Linked DNA regions of Rattus norvegicus. The protein of the gene in region 4 purifies or fractionates together with the protein of the main gene of each other region. This does not show direct contact. Links are inferred from orthologs where the notes say so. Each region holds a gene or a part of one and is shown on either strand. Other genes may lie near its edges.

Region 1 (3,567 bases), on a different chromosome or scaffold from region 4:
ACACCAGAGTCTTCTGCTCTACCTTCCAAGAGCTGAGATTACAGGCATGTGCCTGCCACCAGGCTGGCTTTCTGGTGTACTAGCAAGCACTCTACCAGAGCCCCGTGCCCAGCCCATGTCTTTAGACTTCCTGAGGGGGATGTAAAGAGCAGGGGGAGAGGGGGCAAACACTCTTACACCTGGAACACGCACCATCTCCATCCAGCTGTGCTGCGCCTAACAAAGGAGTTGGTCTTACTCTCATGAACCAGGCTCTGCGTCTGCAAAGTGGGAGTTTCCCCAAGAGCTTCCCAATGACAGAGCAGCATCCCTTTTCACATCCAGTGTCATAAATCCACTTGCAGGGATAGCTCATTTCTGGGGACTGGTTCTCATAGGCACTTTAAAGTCAGCATCCTTGACTTGTACATAGAGAAGATGTCACAGAAGGTCAGCTCACTGCAGACAGCATGGACTGCTGTGGTATAATTGGTCCTGGCTTTCTTACTGAGGCAATGTGTATTCTCAGACAGGGCACTCCTGTTTCCTCATCTATAAGTGAGGCCTAATAGTGGAGATGTACACACCTGTAGTCCTAGCACTTGGAAGGCTGAGGCAGGAGGATTGCAAGTTCCAGATAGCCTTAGCTATATAGTGAGACCCTGTTTCCTTTCTAATTATATAGAGAGGGAAAGGGAGGAGAGAATCTTTTAGGTGTTTTTGTGAGGGCCAAATGGGTACTGTACAGGAGTGCATAAGCAAGAATTAATGCTGTGAGGGACAGGCCCGTGTTAGGTTTTTTCTCATTAAGTCATCCTGGAGGGGTTCCCCATTTTATAGGTCTGCCTTGTTAGGCTTCAGAAAGCCCAGGTTATTTGTTATAGGTGGAATCAAGGGGGTGGAACTAGGCAGGTCTTGGGACCTGGGTGCCCTCTTGTAGATAACTTAATGTCCTTTGAAAGGGCAAGGGGTGGGTATCCCAGGTTAATCTTGAGTGCCAAGTGGCAAGAAATGATCCTTCTTATCAATATTGCTAAGGCTGGGTGGAGGACTTGGTGGAACTCAGGGCCACTGAGCAGTGGTATGTTATACACAGGAGCAGCCGCATGCTGGCTAGGGTCCCTGTCTCCTCTCATTTCGGCTCTGCCTCTCCATTCCAGCACATCAACCCAGTGGCTGCCTCCCTCATCCAGAAAATGCTTCAGACAGACCCCACTGCCCGCCCCACCATTCACGAGTTGCTCAATGACGAGTTCTTCACTTCCGGCTACATCCCCGCCCGTCTGCCTATTACCTGCCTCACCATCCCACCAAGGTTTTCAATAGCTCCCAGCAGCCTAGACCCCAGCAACAGGAAGCCTCTCACAGTCCTTAATAAAGGTAAGATCAGTCCGGGCAGAAGAGAGCCCAGGTTTCCGGGGTACATTTCAGGGTGTGTGTGCCTTACTGCCTCATCCCTCCCCTGGGCCCTTCTGCCCTCCGCCCTTGGCAGGAAAAACCAACTGAATCAACCTATGTAAAGAGTACCTAAGATCTCCCTTGCACAGTTTGGAGAAAGCTGGAAGTTTTCTGGTGCATACATGGAGCATGCCGTGGTACCTATCCTCAGTTCTCATTCTCAGCATGCCCAACCCTGGTCACTCCAAGCACCCTTTGTTCTCTGAGTGTTTGTGCTTTGTCAAGAAAAGGTCTTTCTGTCACCCAGGCTGCTCTTGAAATCAGTCCTCCTGTCTAGGGCCCTGCTGACTACAGAATTGCAGGTTTGTATCAGCTCATCTCACTTTGGAAAAGTCGAGACAGCCAACTCCAGGAGTCTGCCATTTTACTCTTGTACTAAAGTATGCATCTTTCCTCAAAACTCCAGCATCCCTTGCCCCTGCTTGGATAGCTTTTGTGTCTAGAGCTCTTTAGAGATCAGAGTCTTTCTGATTCATATTCTAATATTCATCATTGTCCACACTTATAAAAAGGTAGAGGGACAAATGCTCTCCCAGTCTGCTTACATTCTGTTGATGCATCATCAGCCCTATGTGTTTCTTTAACTGCTTGAGAGCGAGCTTTCCTCGAGGAAAGCGTCTGCGCGCTGTGACAGACACCAGCATCAGCTTCAGGACTGAGCATTCATCTCACAGTGCTGTAAAGGTTCTTTTTTTCTTGTTCTTTTCTCTCTTTTTGTTTTGTTTCCTTTTTTTTTCCTTTTTGGAAACAAGGCTTCACTATATAACCCAGGCTGGCCTCCAACTCAGGAGATCCACCTGCCTCTGCCTTCCAAGTGCTAAGAGCAAAGGTGTGAGTGAGCCACCTTGCCTGGCAGCAGTGTTTGCTTTTCTGTTTTTTACTGTCCCTCCCTCCTCCTCTTTTTTTGAGACAGACTATCACCATGCTGACTCGGGTTTGAAATCCCCCTGCCTTACCCTCCACAGTGCTGGGCTTGGGACTGTGCCACTGTATTCATCATCATCATCATCATCATCATCATCATCATGTAGTCTTATTTTTTTGATTTATTTATTTATTTTATGTATGTGAGTACACTGTCAGACACACCAGAAGGGGGCATCAGATCCCATTACAGATGGTTGTGAGTCACCATGTGGGTGCTGGGAATTGAACTCAGGACCCCTGGAAGAGCAGTCAGGTTCTTAACTGCTGAGCCGTCTCTCCAGCCCATGTAGTCTTATTTCTCGTTAATATATTTTATTAAGAGCTATGGTCTTTGAGAGGTAGCTTGTAGGCTTTGTTCTCTGTGGAGTTAGTTATAAAACTAGTGTTTAGTATAAAATTCTCAGTGCATCTGTTTCGGTTAGATTTCCATTTTTAGGCAAGAGGCTAGGGTGGCTTAGTTTTGTTTTTGGTGCTTTGAGACAGGTGCTGGGATTTCAAATGAGTGCTTCATACCTGACTCAATTACTTGGTTTATTTTGCAGTAATGCTAGGGTTATACAAAAGTTTAAAAGACAAAATAAAGCTAAATTCCTGTGTACCCTCCACCCAGCTTCTTCCACAGTCAGCATCTCTCTTTAAGCATAGCAGAATTACCAAAACTGAAGTGTTAGCTACAAGATAATCCTGTCAACAAAGCCCAGGCCCCACATCGATCAACCAGATTTCCCATTACATCACCAGAATACAAGTCAGTACCTCACGGGCCAGTTAGTGACCTTGGCTCCCTAGTTTCCTCCAGCCTGTGACAGTCTCTGAGTTTTTCCTTTTGTCTTGTGACCTTGATTGACACTTTTGGCACTGATGAGTTGATTTCCATTGGATTTGATGCTTCCTCAGGATTGCACTGAGGTTCTGCATTCTGAGCAAGAATGCTGTGAAGGGTTTGCTCTTTTCAGTGTCAGGGAGACAAGGCTGTCTCTGCTGCAGACACTGTTGCCTTGGTAACTAATAAGAATCTTGCAGGAAGGTGTTTGAAACTGTAGGAGTTCATCTAATTGTTGCCCACCGGTTTTAGTGGTAGCCATTACTGTAATTTTTATTTTTTTCCCTTTTTGAGACAGCGTTTCATGTGGCCCAAGCTGCTTGGATCTCACAGTAGTCAAGGATGACTTTGAACTTGTGTTCCTTCTGCCTCTATATCCT
Region 2 (3,567 bases), on a different chromosome or scaffold from region 4:
GAGGCTCAAGGAGGAGGAGCCCATGTACTTGGAGGCCAATCTGTGCAACCCAGCAACACTGCCTCAAAAACAAACAGTTCTCATCTGAAGAATGATTGAGTAAAGCAAAAGTAAAAGACCTTCAGATTTAACTCACCTAGCAACTTTATCCTTATTTTACTAACCATTAGTAACTAAGGGATTCTGAATATCCTTTGAAATGCAACTCAGTAGGAGCCACAGAAATTCTTTTATCAATTATAGCCTCGACCAGAGTCCATGTGATTTTTCTAATAGTGAGCACCCTGACAGTCGTGGACATGAGTCTGTTTTCAGCTTAAGGGTTTTCTAAATCCAGCGGTTTCCACAGTAATGTCCATTTACACATATACACAAATGCTATATGTAAGACAAAGGGCTTCATATTATTATGTTCTAACTGGCTGCAGTAAGAATAAAACCACCCACGTGCACTGGTCATTTGACACAAGACTTGTGTGTCAGCTCTGGAACAAAGAGAGGCACACTAATGTAAAGCTACATGGTAACTGGTCTTCTGATTCTGCAAGGCAAGACCCATAGCCCCTAAGGAGTATTTACCTCTGGCAGAATGATAGTAAAGTATGGCTTTACACTGATTCGCAATGGATGAGCAAAGAATTACTTGTTCAGACAAGTATCCATTCCACAGAGATCACCGAGACACAGATAGCCAAAAAGGCTGCAAACTTCCAGCACTGTCAGGGTGCTGATAGGTGCCCCAAAATTACCTATAAAGGCTAAATTTTCAAAAGCAATTTCCAAGATCTTCAAGTTACTCTGCCTTAACCCACTGGTTTCCTAATACAGCTACAATCTAAGTACTGCCAGGCAGTGATGCACACGCCTTTAATCCTATCACTCAGAGGGCAAGGCAGGCAGATCGCAGGACTGTACTCTCTTCATTTCTCTCTATAACTTAACCCAGATATTTCTTGAGGCAGAGTTCCAGGACAGCCAGAGATACACAGAGAAACTGTCTCAAAACAAGAAAAAGGAAGAAAAGTATTCATTGAACATGACTATATGATTATTATTTCTGTGCACCCTGAAAATAAATGCAAGCATCATCCCCATCTATACAAGAAGCCATGACTTGCTTGGGGTAGCTTTCTAGGTTAACTGAAGACTCTTGTACTTACTTGGGCTTTATGGGATCAAACTGCACTTCTTCCAATAGATCATATAGGTAATTATTATAGATTTCAATGTAAGAGACAAACACTCCATAGACACTGTCTTCATCAACTTCTTCTGCTTTGCAGAATTCTTGTACATTTATCATATCTGCAAACTCTGGATCTGCTTGTCGCCTACAATGAGAAAACAGATCCCCTAACTTCAAAATGTACCCACTATGAGTTAAGATAAAAAGTAGATAATGGCTGTGTGGGATAGTTCTTTGTCAACTTGACACAAACTGGAGTCTTTGGGAAAGGGGGCTTTCAACTGGAGAAAATACTTACCTCTATAAAACTGGCCACCAGGCAAGTCTATCTAGCCTTTTCTTGATTAATGACTGATGTGTGTGGTACCAACCCTGGGCTGGTGCTCCTGGGTTGTATAAGAAAGTAAGCTAAGGGGCTGGAGAGATGGCTCAATGGTTAAGAGCGCTGACTGCTGTTCCAGAGGTCCTGAGTTCAATTCCCAGCAACTACATGGTGGCTCACAACCATCTGTAATGAGATCTGATACCCTCTTCTGGTGTGTGTCAGAAGACAGAGACAGTGTACTTATATATAAATAAATAAAATTAAAAAAAAAAAAAAGAAAGAAAGAAAGAAAGAAAGTAAGCTAAGGGGCTGGAGAGATGGCTCAGCGGTTAAGAGCACCCGACTGCTCTTCCAGAGGTCATGAGTTCAATTCCCAGCAACCACATGGTGGCTCACAACCATCTGTAAATGGGATCTAATGGCCTCTTCTGGTGTATCTGAAGACAGCTACAATGTACTTATATATAATAAATGAATAAATCTTAAAAAAAAAAAAAAAAACGGAAAGTAAGCTAAGCAAGCCATGGGAGTAAACCAGAAAACAGCACCCCTCCATGGCATCTGCATCAGCTCCTGCCTTGAGTTCCTGCCCTGACTTCTCTCAGTGATGGACTGTTACTTGGAAATGTAACAGGAAGATAAAATAAATCCTTTCCTCCCCAAGCTGCTTTGTTTAAGGTATTTTATCACAGCAATACAATGATATCACATATATCAGAGCAAAAGCAAACTCTAATGATGTTCTGTCACGTAGGGCTGAATTCATAAGCAACTTTATTTGAATTTAAGGTGAGTCAAGGACACTCTAAGCCCTTAAGATTCACAACACAAGAACTCACCTTCCCCCTACTTGGACGTATTCTCTTGAAATGAGATAAAATATCTGAGCAGTCAAGAACATGCCTCAACCCTGACCTCACAAAAGTCAGCTGTAAGACCAACTTTTCTAATTCGTACTTACCTTCTCCGGACCTATAGAAACTGTAGGACAGAATTCCACCCACCCTAGGTCACAATGAAGTCACTCACTTGCTAGAGGGGGTCTTTGGAATGGGCATGGCTTCTCTTTTCTGCCGTTCTAACAAGGCATCGACTTCACACTGTATTTCCATACTGTTCCTATCATTAGACTTAAACACCTAAGAGAGAGGCAAAATAGACTTGAAAATAACTTTAAGGAACAGAACCATTTGAAAATAGGAAGCATTTAAACATTTAAACCTGGGGAAAGGGCACAAGACTCAGGGGCCCTGCAGCTCCTGATCCTCTTGTTTATACCACAGGCATGCAGCCACCACGCCTACATCAAGTATGTAAGAGTCAAAGTAGCTCTAATGTCTTTGTCTTTCCTCAGCATCACTGCATCCATAGATGCCTCAGCCCTGTGTCTATAGTAACAGTCACAACCCAAAGGAATTGTACTTACGAAACGTTTTGCTTGAAATGACCCTATGCTGTTAAAGATCATATTCAAACAACGAGGAAGCAGGCCTCCGGACCCTGGAGACCCTGTCATTGTGTAGGTTTTTCCACTTCCCGTCACACCATATGTAAATAAAAGACCTAAAGTATGGCAAGTAACAATGAGTTATAGTCTTAAAGCCCCACATAACATGTCGTTTATTTAAAACGCTAAAATTAACAAACCCAAAAAAGGGCACTCTGATGAGTTAAATCTGAATTCAATGTCAAACCAAATATATGAATATTAAAAAGTTTTATCACAAGATCAAACAGGGAATTCAATTAAACTCCAAGAGTCATACCATTCTTGCCATGAATGAGGTCATCTACCAAGGGACTAGCCACAACATCAAAAAGCTCCTTCTGGGTGGTGTGCGTGCCAAATACCCGCTTAAATGAGTACTGAGTCTGTGGAGAAAAGAAAAACATCACCACATGGAATTCCATTAGATTAGAGCTGTATCTGTTCTACACTTGGAATGTTTCTGTTATGAGCATTTCAAACCCAGACATGTTAAAAAAAATCACCAAGAATGGTCTTTAAGCTTGGAGCCTTTCGTAGTCACAATATACATAAATCACAGCTATCGTA
Region 3 (4,149 bases), on a different chromosome or scaffold from region 4:
AACCAATCAAGAAAGAGTAAACAGAATGTTCCAGCTCAATAAGAGTCAAGGCCAGAGTGAAGGAGAACTGGATGTGACAGGTAAGTTCGGCACACTGCTGCTGTCTCCTGTGAGGCCTACCCAGAGTCTGCCTTAGCAGTCACTGAAGCCTTTTCCTAATGACTTCAACTTAGGCAGACATAAAACACTGCCTCAAAACACAAACCTCATCCCCCTCATCCAGCCCTGTGCCCACCACACTCTCGCTCGGGGCACACAGTTTTTGATTGTTAGCATCTTGTTTGCACTGAGCAAGCATCACAGAGTCGATGGGCTACCATTGGTCTACTCGTTCTCTTTGGATTCAGTTTTTCAGTTACCCTCTGCCAGAAGTCTCTAGCATGGGCAGTCACCCATCCCATTCCGTCCCCTTCTCCCTGACCCCTGGGAATTTACTTCTCAATGAAGTCTCCACCAGCCACACTTTTAAATTCAGCCTTTTCTGTAACTCCTGGTTTATTCTGCTCCAGAGTGCTTGTCTCCACCTAACATGTTTACTTACTGTCTGGAAAGCAAGGACTTAGCAGAGCCACTGGTATCTAGAACACTGCCCACTACCAATGCTTGGTAGGTGACCTGACACTCACTGAGTGAGCCTCCTCATGGCCAGTTTTCTTCCTCAGGTTCAAAGGTGAGTCCTTGCAACGACAGGTTTTTGATTAATGTAGCACGGTATAAAAACCTTATATTGGCGGGGAGGGGGGCCGAAGAGATGACTCAGTGGTTAAGGGCACTGGCTGCTGTTTCAGAGGACTTGAGTTCAATTCCCAGCACTGGCATGGCAGCTCACAACTGTCTGTAGCTCCATCCCCAGGGGATCTGACACCCTCACACAGAAGCCAGCCAAAATAATATAGCAAGGCTATTATATTGAGTAGAAATTTTTGTCAACTGAAAAAAGCCAGGGGAAAAAAGCCAATGTTAAGAATTCTATAAGGCAGGTTGGGGATTTAGCTCAGTGGTAGAGAGCTTGCCTAGCACTGGGTCCTCAGCTGGGTGGGTGGGAGGGATTTATTGTGTATTTGTGGAGAGTTAGATCTGCAGCCAAACTATCTCAGTCATCTCTTTACCCCACTAATGCACCAGCCACCTCCTTGCTGCTATCAGATGAAATTTTGGCCTGAATTAATTACCTTTTACCAAGGGGAATGGTGGCAGACATCTTTAATCCCAAAGCTTGGGAGACATAGAGACAGGCAGATCTCTGAGTTCCAGGGGGGAAAAAAAAAAAGACAAACCAAAAAATAACTACCTTTCATCAACCCAGAAGCTAAGCTGGTCAGCAGACAGCACTGAGGTCTAACAGCACAAGAGTCCCCATCTTTACTGCACCCCAGCAGCCTGATGTGCAGTCAACAGTTTCTTAAGGGTTAGTAGAAGAATCTTACTTGAACTTAAATGTACCATTGTGCTGGCCTATACCTTAGCTGACACCATGCCTGCCTAGAGTGACAAGCCCCTGGTTTCTGTCCTCAACACAGCAAATACTGAGAATGGTGGATCACACGTGTCATCTCCAAATTGTCCTGTAATCCCAACACTCCAGGGACAGGCGGATCAGAGGTTCGGGGTTATCCTTGGATACAAGAGGCCAACCTGGGCTACATAAGACACCGTGTGTGTGTGTGTGTGTGTGTGTGTGTGTGTGTGTGTGTGTGTGTGTGTGTCTCAGACCAACCTGGGCTACATAAGACACCGTGTGTGTGTGTGTGTGTGTGTGTGTGTGTGTGTGTGTCTGTCTGTCTGTCTCTCTCTCTCTCTCTCTCTCTCACACACACACACACACACACACACACACACACAGAGTGTGATAGAACAGTAACTCCAATAACCCTCCAATACACTATTGGGAGTACTGCAGTCCGTCTCTCCCTCTCTCTCCCTCCCTCTCTTTCTGAGGCACAAAAACAAAGTTCTCATCCCAAGAGAAATGAGTGTTCCTTCCTGAGCCAAATATAAGTGACCCTGGCTCGTGACCATGAATCCAGGTTACCTAAATAAATACCATGTTCTGATATAATCATTCTCATTAAGTTTTATAGTTAAGAACAGTCATAAATCAAGGAACGCTTAAAAAAACTTTGGTGGGCGCTTCAAGAAGGTTTCCGAGGCTTGCCAGATTACAGTCGTAGCTTTTCTGTGGGTGGAGGCTGTTAATATAAAGTAATACACCCCCAAAGGGTTTCCCATGCTAATCGCAGAACGGTAGCTAGGTCAGTGGCAGAAATAGGTGATAAATTATTATTAAAAGGAGGGCTGAAAAAGATAGGCTCCGCATTTGCAGCATTCTAGCTCTCCACATATAGGGATGTTCTAATTAGCCTTGTGGGAGACAGCCAAGAAGGTAGAGGCTCTCCACTGTAGGCCGCCAGGTTCCTCAAACACCTGACTTCTCCCGCAGAAGAGACTGCTCCTCGGAAAAGGGTGAGAGGGGCTCGCTCCCGGCCACTCCCACGTCCCGCACTAGAGTTCGCCAAGACCACCTTGAGGGAACCACACCCGCACCCGTCGGGCCACGCCTCAAAAGGACGCTCCCGACTTAACGCGCAGCCCCACGCCGAGAGCAGACCCCTCCAGATGCCCCCCTCCTCCCTCCGCCGCCCGCTCGCGGCCTCGACCCGCTTACCGAGGCTCCCGGCCCCGCGCACACGCAACCCTGTTCGGCCCGCGGCGCTTACTCTCCGGCCGCCGCGCCCCAGGAGGGCTGCTGTCCACCAGCTGCGCGCCTCACTAACGGCAGTGTAAAACCGCGCCGCCGGATCCGGTTCAAAATCGCGCAGCAGCCAATCACAGAGGAGATCATGCTCTGGGCGACGCACGTGTTAGGGCCAGGGGGCGGGCGCAAAACGGGAAGAGCGTGCGCATTACATTAGCGAGACGCCGAAAGACGGCCATTTTGACTGTGGGCACACTTTTGCGGGAGTAGTGGGTGTTTCATGGCCTGTGTAGGACTCCCGCTCCAGGCTCCGGCTACGGCTCCCTTTCTTGCAATTATTCTAATGACCTGTTGACTAATTGCATATTATTCTTGCCTCCATGTTTCCCCAGGCAGACAAATAGGACTCTTGGAAACTAATAACCGAATAGTTTCGGGTCTCACTGTAGAATAGGAAGAATTCCAGAAGGAGACAGAGCAACAATCATTTTAACCATATTTACTGAGCTATAATTATCCCCCCCATTCACTCACGCATCCATTCAGACTTCTATTTGATGCACAGTAAGTATGCCAACTTCATAGCAAGCACTCTGCTAGAGATCAGAAAAAAATACAGATCATGTGGTCTCTGCTTTCCAGTAGCTATGAATGGGTGAGACAGCTCAAGAAAACAAATAGAAGTGCAGAATGAAGTGTTATAATTCCATTTAATAAATGGCACTTAAAATTTGGCATTGTATTGGTACAGAGGCTTTGAAACTTTTAAAGATCTGGGCCCAACATCAGAAATGCACTCAATATACAACCATTCATCTTAATCTATTAGTGTACTCCCGATGTTTCTGTTCTTTTGTTGTTGTTGTTATTTCTCTGTGTTGGAGTCCCTTCCTTCCTGAATTTACTAATTACTGGAAGGTGTGGCTACCTGCAATTTGACAAAATACTGGCTGGCTAGAGCTTACTAGAAAGGGTGAGCCAGGCATATGCCTTTAAGCCCAGCACAGCAGAGGCAGGCAGATGTCTGTAAACTCAAGGCCAGCCTAGTCTGCCTCAGTTCTCAAACCACCAGGGGAGCTGTGCCCTTGAGCTCTTTACAACAGTTGGTATTTTAAAAGGCAGTTCTGTGTGGGTGTGGTGGCACACACCCATAATCGCCAGCACTTAAGGAGTGGAGGCTGAGAGATCAAGACCAGCCTCTGCTACTTTAGCTCCAGACCAAACAAACAAACAAACAAACAAAAAAGCAGCTCTAACCGTGGCTTTTCCTTGCTGAAAACCATTAATCACTTCACCTCCCCTCCTTAAAAAAAAGATGGGGTCCTTAATGGCTCCCCTAACCTGTGCTTCCCTGCTCCCTAACTGCCCTCCATCTTGTTTACAGGTCCTGAAGTGCACCAAGTGACACCTAGCATCCAGAGCTTTACTCTTGCAGTCCCATCTGCCCCAGACAC
Region 4 (3,567 bases):
GTTTGCAGCTAAAATATGTTGAGATCATTTACGATTGGGCACTTAACCTATCCTGTTGTGTCTTCAGCTGTTGGGTCACTAGTCTACTGCTATGAAGAGACGTCATGACCAGGACAACTCTTACAAGGGAAAACATTTAATGTATGTGTGGGACTAACAGTTTTAGAGGGTCAGTTCATTATCATCCCAGTGAAGAGCATGGTGTCAGATAGAGAGACTTAGTGCTAGAAAAGTACCAGAGAACTTTACATCCTGATCATCAGCCAGCAGGCAAAGAGTGAGACTCAGCCTGGTGTGCAAGTTTGAAATCTGTAAGGGCCACCTCTGAAACCACACCCTCTCCAACAAGACCACACCTCCCAATCCTTCCCTAGAGTCTACCGACTGGGAAGCAAGCACTCAAAGACATGGGCCAATTTGGGGCCATTCTCATTCAAACCACACCAGCCTTTAAGAGAACAGTATAATCAACTTGCTTGAAACTTATATAATCAGCCTTTATAGCATAAGTGGATGCATGGCTTTAAACTTAAATTATATACTATTTCATGTCTCTGACCACATAATGTTTATGTGTGTGATGTGGTAGTAATTTGGTGAAAGCAGCCAGTAGGCTGACAGCAACCTTAAAAACAAAATCCACCATAAATTTTGAAAGCAACATGTGGGCAGAAACATGCCATGCTATGTGAAGTAATAAAAACTTAAAGCTTAAATTCTATGATCTCTTGGGAATTCAAAATATAACAATTAGGCCACACCTTTTCCTAGTGCTGACAGGCTTCCTGCTGAGATGAGTAAACCCAAAATCTGCATGCCATTTTTACTGATTTAGATTACTTTTTACTGTCCTTTGCATATTGATGATAAAGATTTGCTTTCTAAGTACTCACTCTCAATAATCAAGCACATATGGTCCTCATGTTATTAAGAAAGAAAATCAGTAAATAAAAGATGGATGATTTTTACTAAGTAAAGTTTATAAAGGATAAAATGACTGGATTTTCACAGAAGGGAGAACTAGAAAGTTTATTAAAGTTAAAATGGCTGATATTTTCAAAATTAAATGGAAAAGTAGAAAGTTTATACAAACTGTAATAGTATAGATCATAATTAGACAATAGGATATTTTTTAGAGGTATCATTTAAATTTTGTTAAACAAGTTACAAACTCATACAATATACAGTAGTATACACTTTTAAATATTTTCTAAAAACCAAAGGCTACTTAGTAATGAGTGACTGACAGTGGGTAAAGCATTTGCCAAAACATGAGGAGATGAGTTTAAATGCCCAGAACCCTGTAAAGTCAGGCATAGTAGTTCACACATGCAATTCCAGTGACTCTGTAGTGAGATGCGAGCTGGACACAGGAGAAGCACCTGATATCAACTGCAGTTAACAACAAAGAGATCCTGCCTCTGACAATATAGAAAATGGTGACTGACCCAAGTTTGTTTCCTAACCCCTCTCACCCTGAGGATGATAAGTAGGGAACCACATTCACAAATACAAAAAAGAGAGAAGACTTAAACTAAGATATGTGAAAGTATATATTCATTACAGAAAAAGGTATATAATATTTGTATATTATTATTGATACACACATATTAATGAACAGCTTTTCTTGGAAAAAGAAAAAGGACCTTGAGAAGAGGTGGATTACACATCCTATAAAACTAATACTAGAGCAATGTCTTGGTCCCTTTATGTATGTCTGTAACAAAATACCTTATACATGATTCTAGTATCTGTAAACTCAGAACAGCATGGTATCTGATAAGATCTCCCCAGATACGTTACCATGTGCAGAGGCATAAGAAAAAGGAATTGCGTGCAGAAGGGGCACACGTATAGCAAGAAAGCAAGATTACAGAGGTATCGTGCTCATTCTTATAAGAACGTACTCCCTGGAAACTCATCTGCTCCTATGAGACTTATATTAATCCACTCCTGAGAATAGAGCTCCTGTAATCTAATTACCTACTACCAGGTCCAACCTCTAAATGATTTTACCACTTTACCACTGTTACACTTGTGTAACATATGGGGAAATATGCCTATAAATCCAGAGCTCAGGAGCCTGAGGTAGGATCACCATTTGCTGTGAATTCCAGGACAACCAGTTCAGAGTGAGACTTTATCTCAAAAACAAGAACAAAAGCAAACAACAAGCAACAACAACAGCAAAAATAAAATAAAATCCCCACTAACAGAAAAGAAATTAATAAGTTTCCAAGAATAACAAGTTATTTTTTACTTTGATGTTTCCTTGTCATTCATGCTATGCAAGTTATTAATTTGCCTTCCATATATTCAATTTCATTAAATTTTAACTTCCATGCCCAGTCAACTTTTCTCTCAAAGCTCAAAACAAAAAATACACCAAACATTGGATACTTACTTAAGATTCCTTCTACAGAATCATGCTGAATAAATTTTACGCCTGAAATTTTAACATCCATACCCGTGCAATCCACAAAAGTATCTCCTTTGCCCCTCTTTTCAATGATGATATCATCTGGGGGACCGTATCCTATGGAAGAGCGTGAAACGACTTAGGAAGAATGAAGGAAAACATCTACATGCAAAAGATTAAGAAGATCCAAAATAACAACTGATGAGTGAACAGTGAAAATGAAGCACGTATTCACAATGTAATTCCATACAACCTAAGAAAGGAAGAGAGTAAATTTGCAGGAAAATGGATAGAACTAGAAATTATTACACTGAGTGGAATATCCGAGGGCCACAAAGGGAACCCCAAATTTCTTTCTTGAATAAATAGCCTCAAAATTTAATTTTTTTAAAATTCAAATTCTTTACAGAGGCAAGAAAGATTCCACGAGCAGAAGAAGCACTGAAGGAGGAGGGAGTCAAACACAGGGACTGGAAAGTAGGGGATGAGGCGTGAAAGGGTTTGGGCAGGGAAATAGGGGTACTGGGAAGATAGGGAAAGGGAAAGAAAACTGAGAAAACATAAAAAAGCTATACGGAAACCTAGTGCTTTATAAATAATAATAATTATTATTATTTTATGAATTTAAATAAGAAAAAAGAAGCTTTTAAATAAGAGTCCAATACCAGATATGGGATACTGTCCTGTGACTTGTGGGCAGAAGGTTTCAGAAGTCAACAAAAGAACACAGGCTGTTGTCATTGCTCTTAGTCAGCCACTACAACGTGAGAGTAACATATCTTAGTTGTAGGACACAGAGATATGGAACTGTGTAGAAAATGCCCTCTATGCTTGCTAAGGTTCACAGTCCCAGAAGGTGCTATCCAGGGCACTAGAAGAACCTTGTCAACAGTCTCACCTACCTGTTGATCACGCGCGATAAAACACACCGGCCAGACACGATATGCTCACTGATACAATGGTAGCTTGGCTATTTTGGGAATAACTAACTGCTTTGTAAGTGGACATGCAGTCTGTGCCTCAGGATAGATTACCAGGTATGGTACTCTAAACCTGGTCTCCTGGTCCCAAGGGAAAAGCACACTACCTTTGTCAACAAAAATGAATGCACTGTCTAACTGCCTTCTAAACATTGTTTTAGCCTTTGC

The links.
Region 1: the proteins of Shcbp1 (region 4) and Plk1 purify together in Homo sapiens (affinity purification with western blotting; 3 studies listed by BioGRID, with this or other methods). This does not show direct contact. The link is inferred for Rattus norvegicus from reciprocal best matches to the Homo sapiens genes SHCBP1 and PLK1.
Region 2: the proteins of Shcbp1 (region 4) and Kif23 purify together in Homo sapiens (affinity purification with western blotting; 9 studies listed by BioGRID and IntAct, with this or other methods). This does not show direct contact. The link is inferred for Rattus norvegicus from reciprocal best matches to the Homo sapiens genes SHCBP1 and KIF23.
Region 3: the proteins of Shcbp1 (region 4) and Racgap1 purify together in Homo sapiens (affinity purification with mass spectrometry; 8 studies listed by BioGRID and IntAct, counting the BioPlex papers as one, with this or other methods). This does not show direct contact. The link is inferred for Rattus norvegicus from reciprocal best matches to the Homo sapiens genes SHCBP1 and RACGAP1.

What each region holds. Positions count from the first base shown.
Region 1 is NC_086019.1:186,150,645-186,154,211, forward strand, and holds part of Plk1 (serine/threonine-protein kinase PLK1), read left to right. Parts: intron 1-1,139; coding exon 1,140-1,359; intron 1,360-2,470; exon of another isoform or gene 2,471-3,567. UniProt on the Homo sapiens protein: Serine/threonine-protein kinase that performs several important functions throughout M phase of the cell cycle, including the regulation of centrosome maturation and spindle assembly, the removal of cohesins from chromosome arms, the inactivation of anaphase-promoting complex/cyclosome (APC/C) inhibitors, and the regulation of mitotic exit and cytokinesis.
Region 2 is NC_086026.1:71,310,555-71,314,121, forward strand, and holds part of Kif23 (kinesin-like protein KIF23), read right to left. Parts: intron 3,384-3,567; coding exon 3,278-3,383; intron 3,075-3,277; coding exon 2,938-3,074; intron 2,651-2,937; coding exon 2,541-2,650; intron 1,332-2,540; coding exon 1,161-1,331; intron 1-1,160.
Region 3 is NC_086025.1:132,656,897-132,661,045, forward strand, and holds the start of Racgap1 (rac GTPase-activating protein 1), read right to left. Parts: upstream 2,843-4,149; 5' UTR 2,666-2,842; intron 1-2,665.
Region 4 is NC_086034.1:91,394,324-91,397,890, reverse strand, and holds part of Shcbp1 (SHC SH2 domain-binding protein 1), read right to left. Parts: intron 2,537-3,567; coding exon 2,405-2,536; intron 1-2,404. UniProt on the Homo sapiens protein: May play a role in signaling pathways governing cellular proliferation, cell growth and differentiation. May be a component of a novel signaling pathway downstream of Shc. Acts as a positive regulator of FGF signaling in neural progenitor cells.